3 linked regions of the Arabidopsis thaliana genome follow. The protein of the gene in region 3 interacts with the protein of the main gene of each other region in a biochemical or structural test. Each region holds a gene or a part of one and is shown on either strand. Other genes may lie near its edges.

Region 1 (4,702 bases), 3.1 Mb from region 3:
ATTATCCGAGTCAACTGAAACCAAGATAATGGTGAAATATTTGGGGCTATCGATGGTGAAAATGGAGATGATTACTAAAAGGTGGCATTCACATGGCAGCCATTGTAGCATATGATGGGTCAAGAGAGAGGTGAAATCATCACTATATAACTTTTTTGGATTAAAAAATAATTTACTTTTACCAAGACAAGTGTTGATTTTCCAGAGAGTATGAAGATACAACAAAGGACTTAAACTTGTTTCTACATACGAGTAGCAATTAGGGAAATGTTTAGAGGATTATGAAAGATTATTAGTTGATAGTATGTGATAGTAAGTACTTGACCAATAATTAGTGCCATTTATTTTCAAAACTACTAAATTAATGGTGTGCTAGAGAAATGACTCTAATCTTTCGAGTCTCAACGAGTAGTAACAATGATTTTGTTTGTGTACTCTTCGTTCTTCCCCTTTTCTCCATGTAATAATCTGCAAGTGGGTCTATTATTGAGTTTGATTATGCCACCTTTTTGCTCCTTTTATATTCTTTTTTTCTTAATGATTTTTTTTTGGTTTATTTATCTAGTAGATATATATAAAAAAAAACTAATATAAATATTATAAATTCTGAATTTAGGCAGTAAAACACAATTAAACGATGATTTTTAGAATTTGTCTTAAATATACAGTATATGACAAATCGAAACAAAATGTACTACTTAAAAATCTTTTTATTGTTTGAATAGTAAACTTGTTTGTTTTCAATAGAGTTACGAATTAATCGAGATGGAACCCTACCCATAACTACCTTCTTTTGAAAAAGATGGGAGTTTGATTAGCTTTTGGATTTGTTTGGTTATGAAAACATAAAAAAATAAAAAAAATCTCATCAACTTCTAATTCCGTAAAAGGTGTCATCGTCCCAACGACAAATTTGCTTCTCTTCTTTTCGTTTATTCCACAGTTAACTAAAATTACGAGTTTATTTGACTATAAATTAACGAAATAAGTGTCTAAAATGGGGATAACAAATTTTTGACAAAAAAAATAACATGATGTGGGAATAACAACATACGTATTTGATGCAGTACGATACGACAGTACGTTGGATATTATTTAGTTTCTTCTTATTGTACTTTTTAACGAATTAAAAATACCGTATTATATTAGATTAACCAATAAATATTAATACACATCAAATATCATTTTCACGAATACTTTTCACATTGTTGCACTTTCTAACAACCGTGAAAGATTGATTATACGTAATCAAAAACGATTAAAACCAATAATAAATTAATTCAGTATGGAACATATTATATTTTCCTATTGGCCATGAAAGCTTTTACATGGCAATTTAGTAATAACATAAAAAGACAAGGGCATTGTACATGTCCCTTGCTCTGACACTAATGCATCACTTCACCCTTTCTCTTTGGCGAAAGGTCTCGTAAACCAGTGGTGAGCAACACATGCCATAACCAATTAACCATACCACTCCTCAACGGTCAAGATTCCTTTTTATGCTATCCATTGAACCATTCTCCTCCGTTGGATCATCCAACACCCAACAAGCTTTAACTTAACCATGGTTAGTTTTTTGGTCAGCTAGGTTAAAGCTTCTCTCCTCTTGATTAAATTGTTCCATTACAGAGTTTCTGGTTTTTTTTGGCTTGCGTGATCTCTCTCTTCTCTTCTCTCTCTCACTCATCCAAATCTTTGATCATCTCATCATCATTGGACTTGAAGCTAACTCCAGAGTTTTATCCAGATTCATCATTTTCCAACGTTTTTCTTCAATCGAATCATCAGCGAGTTTGGTTCCGACGACGATCTTAGTAGCTTCATAAGCTCAAGGTCTCGAAACTCTTTCTAGATCTAGCTCATTTACTTTCTTGTAGATCTGAATCTTAATCTCTGTGTTTAGTTTATCGAGTTTCAGGATCTGTTGTTTCTAAATTAGTTTGTATAATTTGAATCTCGCTTTGTTGCAGATTCTTCAGGTTTCGGTGGATTTTCTTGAGCTCTTCTAAGCTTCTCCATTTTGTGAGCCTCCGATTTCGAACCTGGTAGTGTTGTGGATCTCACTGGACCACGAAGCTTTCTTCACTGAGCTAAGCTTGAAGTCAATTCCTCTGTTCGACAATCAATAGAGGAAGATGAATTATTTCCCAGACGAGGTTATAGAGCACGTGTTTGACTTCGTAGCTTCTCACAAAGACAGGAACTCGATATCTCTGGTCTGCAAATCATGGCACAAGATCGAGAGGTTTAGTAGGAAGGAAGTGTTCATCGGAAACTGCTACGCGATTAACCCGGAGAGGTTGATCAGGAGGTTTCCATGTCTCAAATCCTTAACTTTAAAAGGGAAGCCTCATTTTGCAGACTTCAACTTGGTTCCTCATGAATGGGGAGGTTTCGTGCATCCTTGGATTGAAGCTTTGGCTAGAAGCCGTGTGGGACTTGAGGAGCTGAGGTTGAAGCGGATGGTTGTAACAGATGAAAGCTTGGACCTTCTTTCACGTTCTTTTGCAAATTTCAAGTCTTTGGTTCTTGTTAGCTGTGAAGGGTTTACCACTGATGGCTTAGCTTCCATTGCCGCTAATTGCAGGTAAAGGCCTTTCTTTTACTGGCGTTTCTCTAGGTTTTATGTTGTTTTTAAAATGTGTTGTTGTCTTTCTTATTAGGCATCTTCGTGAGCTGGACTTGCAAGAGAATGAGATTGATGATCATAGAGGTCAATGGCTGAACTGTTTTCCAGATAGCTGCACTACTCTTATGTCGTTGAATTTCGCTTGCCTTAAAGGAGAGACCAATGTTGCTGCTTTAGAAAGGCTTGTTGCTAGGTCACCAAACCTGAAGAGCTTGAAGTTAAACCGTGCAGTACCGCTTGACGCACTCGCAAGGTTAATGAGTTGTGCGCCGCAGCTAGTGGACTTAGGAGTAGGGTCTTATGAGAATGAGCCAGATCCTGAATCTTTTGCAAAACTCATGACTGCCATTAAGAAATACACATCGTTAAGGAGCTTGTCTGGCTTTTTAGAGGTTGCTCCACTCTGCCTCCCAGCGTTCTACCCAATTTGCCAAAACCTTATCTCTTTGAACCTCAGCTATGCAGCTGAAATCCAAGGCAACCACCTCATTAAGCTTATTCAGCTTTGCAAGAGACTTCAACGATTATGGGTAAGTTTGTTCTCACTTTCTCTTTTCACTGTCCTGAAGAAAATAAACTAACTTGCTAACCTGACAACAAATGGTTTTTATGGTTCCTACAGATATTGGATAGTATTGGTGACAAAGGACTTGCGGTTGTCGCTGCCACATGTAAAGAGTTACAAGAGCTTAGAGTTTTTCCCTCTGATGTACATGGTGAAGAAGATAACAACGCATCTGTGACTGAGGTTGGACTAGTCGCCATTTCCGCAGGTTGCCCTAAACTTCATTCGATTCTGTACTTCTGCAAACAGATGACAAACGCAGCGCTCATAGCCGTGGCCAAAAACTGTCCAAACTTCATCCGGTTCAGGCTATGCATTCTCGAGCCACACAAACCTGACCACATTACATTTCAATCACTGGACGAGGGCTTTGGTGCAATCGTACAAGCTTGCAAGGGTCTAAGACGGCTCTCTGTCTCCGGTCTCTTAACCGATCAAGTCTTTCTCTACATCGGTATGTACGCGGAACAGCTCGAGATGCTTTCGATAGCTTTTGCGGGGGACACTGACAAAGGAATGCTCTATGTGTTGAATGGATGCAAAAAAATGAGGAAGCTGGAGATAAGGGACAGTCCTTTTGGGAACGCTGCGCTTCTTGCTGACGTGGGTAGGTACGAAACAATGCGATCCCTTTGGATGTCGTCTTGTGAAGTAACACTCGGTGGCTGCAAGAGGCTCGCGCAGAATTCGCCACGGCTTAACGTAGAGATCATCAACGAGAATGAGAATAATGGGATGGAACAGAATGAAGAAGATGAAAGAGAGAAGGTTGATAAACTTTACCTCTACCGAACAGTGGTTGGGACTAGAAAAGATGCACCACCATATGTTAGGATTCTTTAGTCTCTTTGCACCTTCATGTGTTTTCAAACTTTTCTTTGTACTAGTTTTTGCCTTTTATCAAACTTGGAACAAATACAAATGTCGCATTTTATTATCACCGTAATTCAGCCATTGAAAACATAAATTTAGGTAAAATACCAATCACGTTTTCCAAATAATACAAATTACAATGACATCCACAAGAAACCTACTTGTCTAATCCATGCTCTGGATGAGTGCACTCTCAAACAAAGAGGTAAACATTAACAGACATTGACACACGATAGTACACAAGACATAGAGTGTTATGGCATATGTCTTCGATTAGACACATAATGCTGACAGTAAACGACGAGATCCACAGAGACTGGCGGCATTCTCAGAAGCAGCATTCCTCCAACAAACAGCAACAGCAAAGAGCAGCAAGACTGCAATTCGCAACCCACAAAAAAAAGGATTCCGTAATCGCAATTTGTAAGCAACATGATTAGGCTACTTGAGGTCAATCACAAATCTCTTACTAAAAGAAAAGCTGCAGATGATATAACATTTTATCTACAAACTTTATACTAAATATTATGGGGTTAAGAATGTAAAATAAAAGCCATTAGGTAGTTCTTAAGAGAGTCACTAGATCCATTGAAAAGTAAAAGATCCTGTCCAACAGATAAACATAAAAATGT
Region 2 (6,866 bases), 5.6 Mb from region 3:
AGACAAGAGACGCCGCCAGTTCAACATCTCGGTTATCGATACAACCTCCAACCTGGAGGAGGACCTAACCCGGAGATGGTAAATAGCAGTAATAATAACCAGAGGCCAAGGGATTCAAAACCCAAGATAATGAAGGCTTGCATGTACTTCAACAGCGCAAGGGGTTGTCGCCATGGAGCTAATTGTATGTACCAGCACGATGCTACACCCTACCAGCCGAGGAATCTAAACAATGGTAATATCAACACTTCTGATATGCAGAATGCAAAAAGAATGAGATTTGACAGAGACTGATGCAGAATTAGCATACCACACATGCTCTCTGCCTCTTGCTGTTAGCAGCAGAGCAATTTTTCTATTTTCTCTTGCCTGGCTTTACTGCAATATAAGTTTTATATACATTTGAAATTATTTCTTGGTTTTATGCCACAAATGTAGAATTAATTAGCGAGTATTATTTGGCTCACCATCACAGTAGTACTTATACTATCCCTAGTGTTTTTAAGATGATTTTCTACACTTTTATCTTTAACATTGTGCAGAAAAAAGAGTAAAATAATCACAAGATTTCTAAGACTGTCTCAACTACTGATTCATTCATCACTCTACTACATAATATGAATATAGTTTCAGGTCTCAAATCGGAACAACACATCAAATGCTTACAACAAGATGGTTTCTCCTCTACCAGTTGGAGAAAAGAACATTTCTTACTCTCTTTTTTTTCTTACAAATCAGCATGAGATCATTTTTATATTGTTACATTTATGAAACAGAAGTCTTAAGATCGTTAATGCCTGCGCTGTTCAAAAGCTTCATCCCTTCTTCACTCATCTGCTGGACCTCAGTTGGCGACAATATCCTTATGCACCTTACGCATCCCACAAACTCTCTGCACCAGTTTATGTAGTTATGTAAGGAAAACTATTGTAAGACTGATAGTCAGATGAAGTTAATGGATTCACAGAACAGTGAGAGAGAGACTTACTCCCATGGATCATCTCCTACAAGCAGAACATCACTCTCATAATCAACATATACAAGCTTCCAACCCGAGCTTTGTGGGTGAGTTAGTAGTCCTTCCAATCCAAACATGCATTCGATAGCAGATTTTAGCTCCTCGTAGTCTTTAAAGCTTGTGACATCAATTGATCTCCCGACTGACCCGGTTTTTTGAACCTGCCAAGTCAAAACATTACCCAAACCCCAAAGTTTCATGTCAGATTGTGACACAAGAAATTTGTGGAATGAATGAGAGATAATCTTTTTACCTTAGTGTAGGTTCGGACGCGGGGTGTCGCAATTTTCTGCCATGATGAGCCTTTACTATTTTGCCGCAGACTACAATCATCAAAATCAACATTGCTTGAAGATGTACCAGTGCCTCCAGAATTATCTGGAAAATCTTGGCGAGAGAAGGCCTGTGAGTCTGCAAAGCTAGCTGATGTGATCTGCGACTGGACATCTTGAGCAAAGCTAGTGTTGTTGTTTCCAACCAAACAACCAGAAGGGTGGTTCTGGAAATCAGTGTCTTTGATGGCACAGAAGTCATCAAGGACTGTGTTTGAGAGTGGAGGATCTAGAATGTTACTGGTTGTGCTATTACTCATACAGATATTCTGACTAGCATAAAGGTCCTGCTGCATCAAGGGACTGAACTGGTCAAACTTGAGACCGTTCAACTGAGTGTCCCACACATCATGAAACAGCGGTGAGTTTGTGGAATCCGGTAACACAACAGCTGAAGAATCCTGGGAGGATAGAATGAATGGTTGCTTGTATGATCCGGCAAGAGACTGGAAGGAAGAGACTTGTGATGTCAGCTCATCAGTTTCCAGGAAAGAGAATCCATTTATTGGATCAGACTGTGGTTGGTAAATCTGATGAGTAATGTCAAGACATTGATCAGCTTGTACAGGCGACGAAGCACCCGGTTTCTGAAGTAGCTGATTAACCTTTTCCTCATTACACACTGTGGATGTAGTAACCTGGCTTGCCTGTTCCATTGACTGCTCAAGTCCATGTTGGACTCTACCAGAGCTGCAACCAGAGAGTGTAGAGTTCTCAGGTTTAGCAGGAGCACTCATACTCTGTGAAAGATTCTGTTCTTGGCCACTCGTATTAGAAGCAGATGGGTTCACTGTTAGCTTGTTTTGTGGCTGCACCATCTCAGATTTCTGGTTCATCATCAGGGGTTGCTGCATCTTCATATCTCCTAGCAAACCTCCATTCCCCATTACAATATTCTGCTGCATCTCAGACATGAAAGATGGTACATTTTGGTTGTTGTGAGGCCTCATCATCATTTTCATAAGCTGCTCCGAAGCCATACTAGGGAAAGATGCATATGGCATAATCCCATTCGCGGAATCAGGAACACGTATAAGTGGCCGTTTTATCAAGCTACCCCATTCAGTTTCACCAGCTGCATATTTCATAACAAAACTTTAAGGCAGCAAATCTCATGTAAAGTTCACAACAAGGCACACTTATATTTTACTCACCAAAGTAAGATGGATGGAGCTGACGTTTGAGTCCTGAGGTCAGAGAAGGAAAAATGAAGAGACTTTCAGGTGTTTCGATATCCCATGGACTGACCCGAGTAGGTTTATCATTACATCCAGGCTCATCCCATTCTACCTGAAGGTTACGCCACTTAGAACCAGGCCATCTCAACGGATCCAAATCGCTGATTCCAACAATAGTTCCCATGTACCTAAATACACAACCAAAACGTGTATAAGTGAACAACCAAATTTGATAAACAAAAACAGAAAGATTGCAGTTTACGGATAACTTACCTTCGTTTCCCGGAATCTTCAGTTTCAAACATCATTCCAAATCTCATACCAACTGAGAGCTGAGACCCGCATATCGCCTTACGGTACTTAGCTAGAGGGATCACGAACTCTGCTGGACAAGCTCTGAGAACAAACACCATAAGTTACGTTACAACTAAGAAAATAGTTTTATATCATTGAGGATTGAAGAAGCTTTTGAGCTAACCTTGGATTATAGAATATCAAAAAAGGAGTACGGTTGGCGGTTGCGTGAGCAGCAGCAGCAAGAACACCGATGTGCATACTATCCGCTGAGAGAACTGATGAAGGAAGTGCTGTTTGTTGGCGATTGGCACGCCTAACACCGACCATAAGTTGTGACTTCTCATCCCTTTTGGCACATTTTCAAAGGACAAATGACAGTCAGAAGATAAGCAACACCAAAATGAGTCAGAGCCAAAATATCTCAATAGCCAAGGTTTTTCACCTGATGAACAAAACAGAATCCCCAGCTCTCAATCTCTTCGATCCAACGAACAAACTCCATCCTGTAGTTAGGAGATGTCTCTTTGGTTGCCCTGAGAATGTAAGCAGGAACTGAGCTCAATACCAACTCAATCTAAACAGAGAAAGAGACAAATCTAGTGGTTATACCTCGGTAGATATGGCGAAATGTCCAAGTATTCTCATGAAGATCTCGAACTACAAGCTCTTGCGTTGGCGGCTGTGCTGAGTAGTCCTGCAATGTATTTAACATAACATTAGCAGGCTAGCAGCAGTTAAAGCAATAGGAACATATGAGGAAAAGAGAAGCTCACCAATGGTGGAAATAGCTTCTCTGCAGCTCTACGTGGCACTGAGAAACCTCCATGTGTGCTTGTGTCACTTGCAGTAAGTGTTTTGCAGAAAAACTCAGTCGGGTGCTTACTTCCTCTCAGCATTCCAAAGTCTGGTACAGGGAACACATCTCTCTCCTGATGCACACAAACCATTCAAACTCATTCAACTTCAACATGAGTTCTTAAATGAAACAAAAGGAAGTTGCAAGAATCCAAAACTTACAGAGTGAACAGGTTGAAGACTCATCTGAGCATAGATTTCGTCACTGTCTTTGTCAGCCTATCAAAGGGGAACAAAACCATTGTCAAGAAATATCAAACTTGGTTGCAATTTGTTTGGATACGAAGCAAATGAGAAAGATTGGCGTACATGAAGAGTAACATTATGGACTTGACACATCAACTGAGATGGAAGGTTCGGATAATTAGGAACTTGTGTTGTTGCTGATCTTCTGGTTGAAACAGCAACCTAATAAGTCAAAAAGTGAACAAAAAAAATCAAACCTTTTGAACAGGAGCTAACAAGATCTAGAGAAGTACAATGTGTTTGTTTGTTCTTTAAGACACACAAAGTTACCTGCTCGCTATGACCTTGTGAGAAGTAATACACTAAGCTCCCAACTTGAGGGAGACACACCAAAGGGCCTGCACAAGCGTGCCATAGCTCCGAGTTTATTACCGGCTTTCTTGTACCTGAAAAATGTTCAAAATCGCATTTTTAGGGGAAAGTAACAAAATTTCTAAATGTCATTAGCATAAATTATGAAACCTTTTGTTATCACAGTTTATTCTTAAAAAGGTAACTTTTTTAATAAAAATCTTGAGAAAGAAGAAGATGAAAACCTGACTGGTCTTTCAACAGCTTCATCTCTTCAAGCAAGGTAGATTGAGATGTTGTTGTTGTTATAGTTCCTCCACCATTAACCAAACAACTTGTTTTCATCTTGTCTTCAACACAAGACAATGAAGCCATCATACAGAGAGATTTTTCAATGTTCTGTTTTGTCTCTCCCACACTCAACACTAACTAGGCTTTAGCAAGACTCAAGAGTTTTTCTTTTTCTTTACTAAGTCTTCATTTTATTTTATTTAATACAAGAAGAGACAAAAAGAGCTCTATTGAGCAAAGAGGCTACAAGAAGATAAATCCAGGACAAACCAGAGGAATTAAAGACAAAGCCATTTCATGGAATCTGTTTTTTTTTGGTTAAAGAAGACTCCAAAATCGAAGGACAAAACCCTTACACATGACAAAAACAGAGTGGGAGAGATTAAAGAACATACAAAATAGGGACTACACAGACAAGCATGTCTCTCTTGTGGGGCTCTTGCCTCTTCTCTTTCTCTCTCTCCACTCTTCTTTTCTCAGACCAAATTCGACCCTTCAATGAAGAAGAGAAACCAAAGGTGCCATCATGAAACCACACAGTTTCTTTCTTTGGTTCCGGATGCAAACAAGAACAAGAAGCAATTGAGAGAGAGACAAAAGCTTTTAAGAAAAAAAAAACTTTTGCTTTCTTTTAATTATTTCTCTGAAAAATCCCACATTTTTTCTTCTTCTCTCTCTAATGTATATGAGTATTAGTATAAATGTGTATGTATAGGTTTTATTTTGCTTGGAAATGGGAAAGAGTGTGCATGCTCTTATCCTGCGCTTAAAACTTTCTGTATATGGCGATGCCGTTGCAGCTTTAGACTCTTTAAACGAATAATATTATATTTTATTGTTTCCCATTAATTATAAAATAAAGTTTTGGTATTTCAATAGATACATCTATATTATTATTTAATGTTTTAGAACAGTTTACGTCAAAAATTTAATAAAGTAGAGTAAGCACACGTAATCTCTGATACGCACAGAAACGTAGTTGAATGTACAAGTACTTTCAATGCTTATGTTATAAGGCAGATAATAAAGCTTAAAATAAGTACCATGAGTGAATATTATTTTAAAAAGTGTCCTACTTTTTCAAGAACTTTGTAAAATATAAAATGTTTTTTGATTATGGCAATAAATTAAAATTGATTAAGAACTTTATGACAAAGGAGGAGGCTTCTTTTTTCGTTGCAATAATATATACTTTTCTCAAAATGTTAATCTTTTCTTGCTGAGATTTCGTAAAAGGGATGTGAGTGGTGAGACTTTGGGAGATCTCTAATACAAGGTGCGTATGATAGGAGAGAATGTCAAAATAGCGTATATTAGCACGAAGCCTAAAGAGGTTACGGGAGGAAGTGTATCTTCCAATCTTTTTTGCCCGGGTGTTCTTTTCCTTTCCAAGTTAAGGACTTCAAAAATGTTTTCTTTCTTTGGTTAGAAAAAGTTATTTTGATATTTGCAAGATTTGGTATAGAGATTAAAAAAGATTTAAGTATGGTTTAGTTAAAACTTAAAAGTTATAAGGTGGTATTGTTTATATATACTTAAGAGTTAAGACCACCTCCAAATAAATTGAAAGGACTGTTGTTTGTGGTTCTTGCATTTGTATTGAAATTGAGCTTTGTAAAATATATTTGTATCTACAACAACCAAAAGAAAGGAATATCTTGGTTCTCTGCACCTGTAAACATAGCTTGTTCTGCTCATTATTAATATCTAATACTCTAAACCACATGTGTAATTATGTCTAATTGTGTATAGTGTGTACCATTACATCTTTAGACCTTTTTAGTTACATACATTTTTTTTTTTTACGCACACATCTCTAGTTTGACCTTTCCATTGTTTTCTTGCGACGAAATAATTGACATGCGGTCATTGTATTATATTGTATGATATGAAACCATATCACTTTCCATATCATTACTTATCAATCATACGTAAATAAAAATCGCTTTCCTTCATGTAATATTACTCATAAACAAAATACAAATGAGCATAGTTAAGTTATATATAGGATTAGTACACAATCCACATTATCACATATTAGAGAAAAATAATCAAACATATTATAATTTATAAGTGGATATATAGTAGCATCATTATGATAGAATATCTATATAAACATAACTACTTATTCGGATACGCGTTTGTCACTAAGATATATTTGAATCAAAGGATCTCCAATCAAGTATATAATGTGTGGAATTTGCTGTTGGCAGCACATTTTAATATACAGTTCAAATTTAGCAAGGAGTGAAACATGCTTTTGATGATAATGGAAAAACTCTCATTTCCGGTGCCAAGATTGTGTGCCATCAGCAAAATCTTTGGAACAAATAGTCATTACGTATAACGAGGAATAAC
Region 3 (4,203 bases):
ATCAACCCCGATCCGATCAAACTACATGGCTACACCGATGAGAACTCATCACGATTTTGGTACACCAGTGAGGAATTTAGCTGGAAGACGAATCTTAACTGAATCGGAGTTAGGACCATCGCCATCTGAAGTGGCTGACAAATTGGCGAAAGATAGATCGCACGAAACGGAAAGTTCAATACTCAGCGAATGGAGCATCGATGAATCTAGCATCGAAGGATTGCGATCAAAACTCGAGAGATGGCGAACAGAGCTTCCACCGTTGTACGACATAGGATCAAGCCATATAAGTAGCACTGATTACGATGGCGCGAGCGTTCCAGCTGCAACTGCCGGGGGAGGAATGAGTTCAAGACGGAAAACTCCGACGACGAAAAAGCATAACCGCCGTCACACAGATGGAGGTAATGGACTTTTCTCGTGTTTTAGTAAGATTTGTGGTGTGGAATGCAGTTTCGTATGCGGTGGTGGTGGTGGGCCGATGGTCTCAGAAGGATCTACTAAGAAAGGTGGAGCCGGACGTGTGCAACGCACATATTCCGCTGACGATCTGAGCTTTGTGTGATCTTTATTTTATTGGTCTTATATTAACTTTTATTTTTTTTGGAAAACTATATTTTTTAAGGATCTGAGCTGATGAATTAATCAAATAGTAAACAAAAATTAATTTATTAATGTTGTGTTAATAAATCATTTATTTTTGTGTATTCCTCTTCTTCTTCCTTATTTTTAAAAAATTAAAAAATGTTCTTCTTATAATATAGTGTTTAATAGAAAGTGAGCTCACACAACAAAATTAGAAAACTGTGAATGAATGTAAGAGAGTGAGTGGAATAAAAAAAATATAAAAATGAAATCTAAGAGTGAGTGAACAAATGTTGGTATTGTAGACAATGGTGACTAAAATTAAAAAGAAACAAAATGATATAAACATTAATCTAAAAAAAACTAAAATAAATATACAAATTCTGCATTTCTAACTATACTTTCATGTATTATGTATACTTATTTGATTCATACATGATATAACCGGTTATTTAGTTTATTTTCTATCAAATCCATCAATTAGAGCATGAAATCTATGTACTCCTTGATAATGATTTTGATCAAAAGTGTAATTTCCACAAACCAATTGCGCCTGCAAAAGTTTTCAAAGGATCATCAAACATAATGATGAATATCTCATCACCACGATTTTATAATAATGCATCTTTTCCCACCATTTTTTTTCCCTCACTTTCTTTTATAATCTTGTTCGACAACAATCATGGTCTAAGGAAAAAGTTGAAAATATATATTATCTTAGTTATTAGAAAAGAAAGATAATCAAATGGTCAATATGCAAATGGCATATGACCATAAACGAGTTTGCTAGTATAAAGAATGATGGCCAACCTGTTAAAGAGAGACTAAAATTAGGTCTAAAATCTAGGAGCAATGTAACCAATACATAGTATATGAAATATAAAAGTTAATTTAGATTTTTTGATTAGCCCAAATTAAAGAAAAATGGTATTTAAAACAGAGACTCTTCATCCTAAAGGCTAAAGCAATACAATTTTTGGTTAAGAAAAGAAAAAAACCACAAGCGGAAAAGAAAACAAAAAAGAACTATATTATGATGCAACAGCAACACAAAGCAAAACCTTGCACACACACATACAACTGTAAACAAGTTTCTTGGGACTCTCTATTTTCTCTTGCTGCTTGAACCAAACACAACAACGATATCCCAACGAGAGCACAACAGGTTTGATTATGTCGGAAGACAAGTTTTGAGAGAAAACAAACAATATTTTATAACAAAGGAGAAGACTTTTGGTTAGAAAAAATTGGTATGGCCATTACAAGACATATGGGTCCCAATTCTCATCACTCTCTCCACCACCAAAATCCTCCTCTCTCTCTCTCTCTTTTACTCTGTTTTCATCATCTCTTTCTCTCGTCTCTCTCAAACCCTAAATACACTCTTTCTCTTCTTGTTGTCTCCATTCTCTCTGTGTCATCAAGCTTCTTTTTTGTGTGGGTTATTTGAAAGACACTTTCTCTGCTGGTATCATTGGAGTCTAGGGTTTTGTTATTGACATGCGTGGTGTGTCAGAATTGGAGGTGGGGAAGAGTAATCTTCCGGCGGAGAGTGAGCTGGAATTGGGATTAGGGCTCAGCCTCGGTGGTGGCGCGTGGAAAGAGCGTGGGAGGATTCTTACTGCTAAGGATTTTCCTTCCGTTGGGTCTAAACGCTCTGCTGAATCTTCCTCTCACCAAGGAGCTTCTCCTCCTCGTTCAAGGTTCGTCCTTTTTCTTATTAAGAAAGCTCAAATCTTGTGATGTGAGTGTTATGCCATCTCAGGACAGAATTGTGTAGGTGCTTTTGTTTTAGTTTACCCTGAATAAGAGTTAGGTATCTATCTCCATTGATGAGCTTGTGCTTGTCCTGTGCTATAGATTTCTCTATGGAGTCATGCAAATGCTAAGATTTGTTCATTTTAATGTCTGTTTAGATGATTACATCTGAATTTCGAGAGCCATTGAGTGGAAATTTCTTGGTTTGTTGTGGCAGTCAAGTGGTAGGATGGCCACCAATTGGGTTACACAGGATGAACAGTTTGGTTAATAACCAAGCTATGAAGGCAGCAAGAGCGGAAGAAGGAGACGGGGAGAAGAAAGTTGTGAAGAATGATGAGCTCAAAGATGTGTCAATGAAGGTGAATCCGAAAGTTCAGGGCTTAGGGTTTGTTAAGGTGAATATGGATGGAGTTGGTATAGGCAGAAAAGTGGATATGAGAGCTCATTCGTCTTACGAAAACTTGGCTCAGACGCTTGAGGAAATGTTCTTTGGAATGACAGGTCTGTACTGTTTTCAAATGCGTACACTATAAACCCGATGTTTTCTATGAATCTACTGATAGTTTCTGTTTTATCTATCAGGTACTACTTGTCGAGAAAAGGTTAAACCTTTAAGGCTTTTAGATGGATCATCAGACTTTGTACTCACTTATGAAGATAAGGAAGGGGATTGGATGCTTGTTGGAGATGTTCCATGGAGGTAAGATTCGGATATTAAGCAGTATTGCAGTAGTTCAAAACCTGATTAGTCTCTTTTCTCTCTTTTTGTTTAGAATGTTTATCAACTCGGTGAAAAGGCTTCGGATCATGGGAACCTCAGAAGCTAGTGGACTAGGTAAGTTTTAAAGATCATCTTCTGGTTTCTTGATTTCTCGTCTTGACTAATGAAAAAGACTGATTGAATCATTTTTAATGCAGCTCCAAGACGTCAAGAGCAGAAGGATAGACAAAGAAACAACCCTGTTTAGCTTCCCTTCCAAAGCTGGCATTGTTTATGTATTGTTTGAGGTTTGCAATTTACTCGATACTTTTTGAAGAAAGTATTTTGGAGAATATGGATAAAAGCATGCAGAAGCTTAGATATGATTTGAATCCGGTTTTCGGATATGGTTTTGCTTAGGTCATTCAATTCGTAGTTTTCCAGTTTGTTTCTTCTTTGGCTGTGTACCAATTATCTATGTTCTGTGAGAGAAAGCTCTTGTTTATTTGTTCTCTCAGATTGTAAATAGTTGAAGTTATCTAATTAATGTGATAAGAGTTATGTTTATGATTCCAAAGAATGAATATTTGTTCCTTAATATGGTTTGTTGTTTTCTGTCTTTTTGAAGTTTCCATTGACTCGAGTCAAAACGTTTTGCAGAAACAGAGAAGAGTGTGTCATTAAAAAAAACAGAGAAGATGTTTATTTTTTTTGGTCGAAGAGAAGATGTTTCTAAGACCATCAAAATCATATATTGATGATTGATGACAAGAAAAGTTTTGACCATCAAAAGTTTTGTCCTTAATTGTTCTTAAATTCACACAAAATACGTTAAGAGTTATCTTTTAAAACTGCAAACTACTTTAAATTGATAAACTTTGAAAAGTAAAGATTTTATTCTTAATCTGATAGTTGAAGACAAAGAAAATAACAAATGTTTGGATTCACGTCACCAAATCAAAATATAATAAGGTTATGGATTGTTTAGGTAATATTTAACTTGTTACCTAGAAAAGGAGATACAGTGCTTAGCAAGTCCAACCAAAGATTAAAGGATAAGTAGTAAAGTCAAAAGACCAGTAAATTAAAGTCTTGTAGAGAAAGGAAGAAGGAAGATTCATGATCCTTGATAAAATTCAAGTTTGGTGAAATTCTAA

The links. Proteins that work in one complex are often made in the same cells at the same time.
Region 1: the proteins of IAA12 (region 3) and AFB3 form a complex in vitro, tested with the Arabidopsis thaliana proteins (one study listed by BioGRID).
Region 2: the proteins of IAA12 (region 3) and MP form a complex in vitro, tested with the Arabidopsis thaliana proteins (one study listed by BioGRID).

The regions. Positions count from the first base shown.
Region 1 is NC_003070.9:4,368,217-4,372,918, reverse strand, and holds AFB3 (auxin signaling F-box 3), read left to right. Parts: upstream 1-1,620; 5' UTR 1,621-1,836; intron 1,837-1,973; 5' UTR 1,974-2,138; coding exon 2,139-2,590; intron 2,591-2,666; coding exon 2,667-3,162; intron 3,163-3,254; coding exon 3,255-4,040; 3' UTR 4,041-4,159; downstream 4,160-4,702. Other genes in the region: AT1G12810 (proline-rich family protein), read right to left, coding at 4,399-4,447.
Region 2 is NC_003070.9:6,885,082-6,891,947, reverse strand, and holds MP (Transcriptional factor B3 family protein / auxin-responsive factor AUX/IAA-like protein), read right to left. Parts: upstream 5,280-6,866; 5' UTR 4,596-5,279; coding exon 4,463-4,595; intron 4,313-4,462; coding exon 4,197-4,312; intron 4,089-4,196; coding exon 3,990-4,088; intron 3,900-3,989; coding exon 3,843-3,899; intron 3,755-3,842; coding exon 3,599-3,754; intron 3,520-3,598; coding exon 3,435-3,519; intron 3,359-3,434; coding exon 3,268-3,358; intron 3,172-3,267; coding exon 3,007-3,171; intron 2,925-3,006; coding exon 2,802-2,924; intron 2,717-2,801; coding exon 2,505-2,716; intron 2,426-2,504; coding exon 1,272-2,425; intron 1,180-1,271; coding exon 989-1,179; intron 893-988; coding exon 766-892; 3' UTR 544-765; downstream 1-543. Other genes in the region: AT1G19860 (Zinc finger C-x8-C-x5-C-x3-H type family protein), read left to right, coding at 1-294. UniProt on the Arabidopsis thaliana protein: Auxin response factors (ARFs) are transcriptional factors that bind specifically to the DNA sequence 5'-TGTCTC-3' found in the auxin-responsive promoter elements (AuxREs). Seems to act as transcriptional activator.
Region 3 is NC_003070.9:1,238,497-1,242,699, forward strand, and holds IAA12 (AUX/IAA transcriptional regulator family protein), read left to right. Parts: upstream 1-1,797; 5' UTR 1,798-2,085; coding exon 2,086-2,288; intron 2,289-2,560; coding exon 2,561-2,847; coding exon of another isoform or gene 2,848-2,879; exon of another isoform or gene 2,880-2,928; coding exon 2,929-3,046; exon of another isoform or gene 3,047-3,119; coding exon 3,120-3,181; intron 3,182-3,264; coding exon 3,265-3,314; 3' UTR 3,315-3,661; downstream 3,662-4,203. Other genes in the region: AT1G04540 (Calcium-dependent lipid-binding (CaLB domain) family protein), read left to right, coding at 1-565.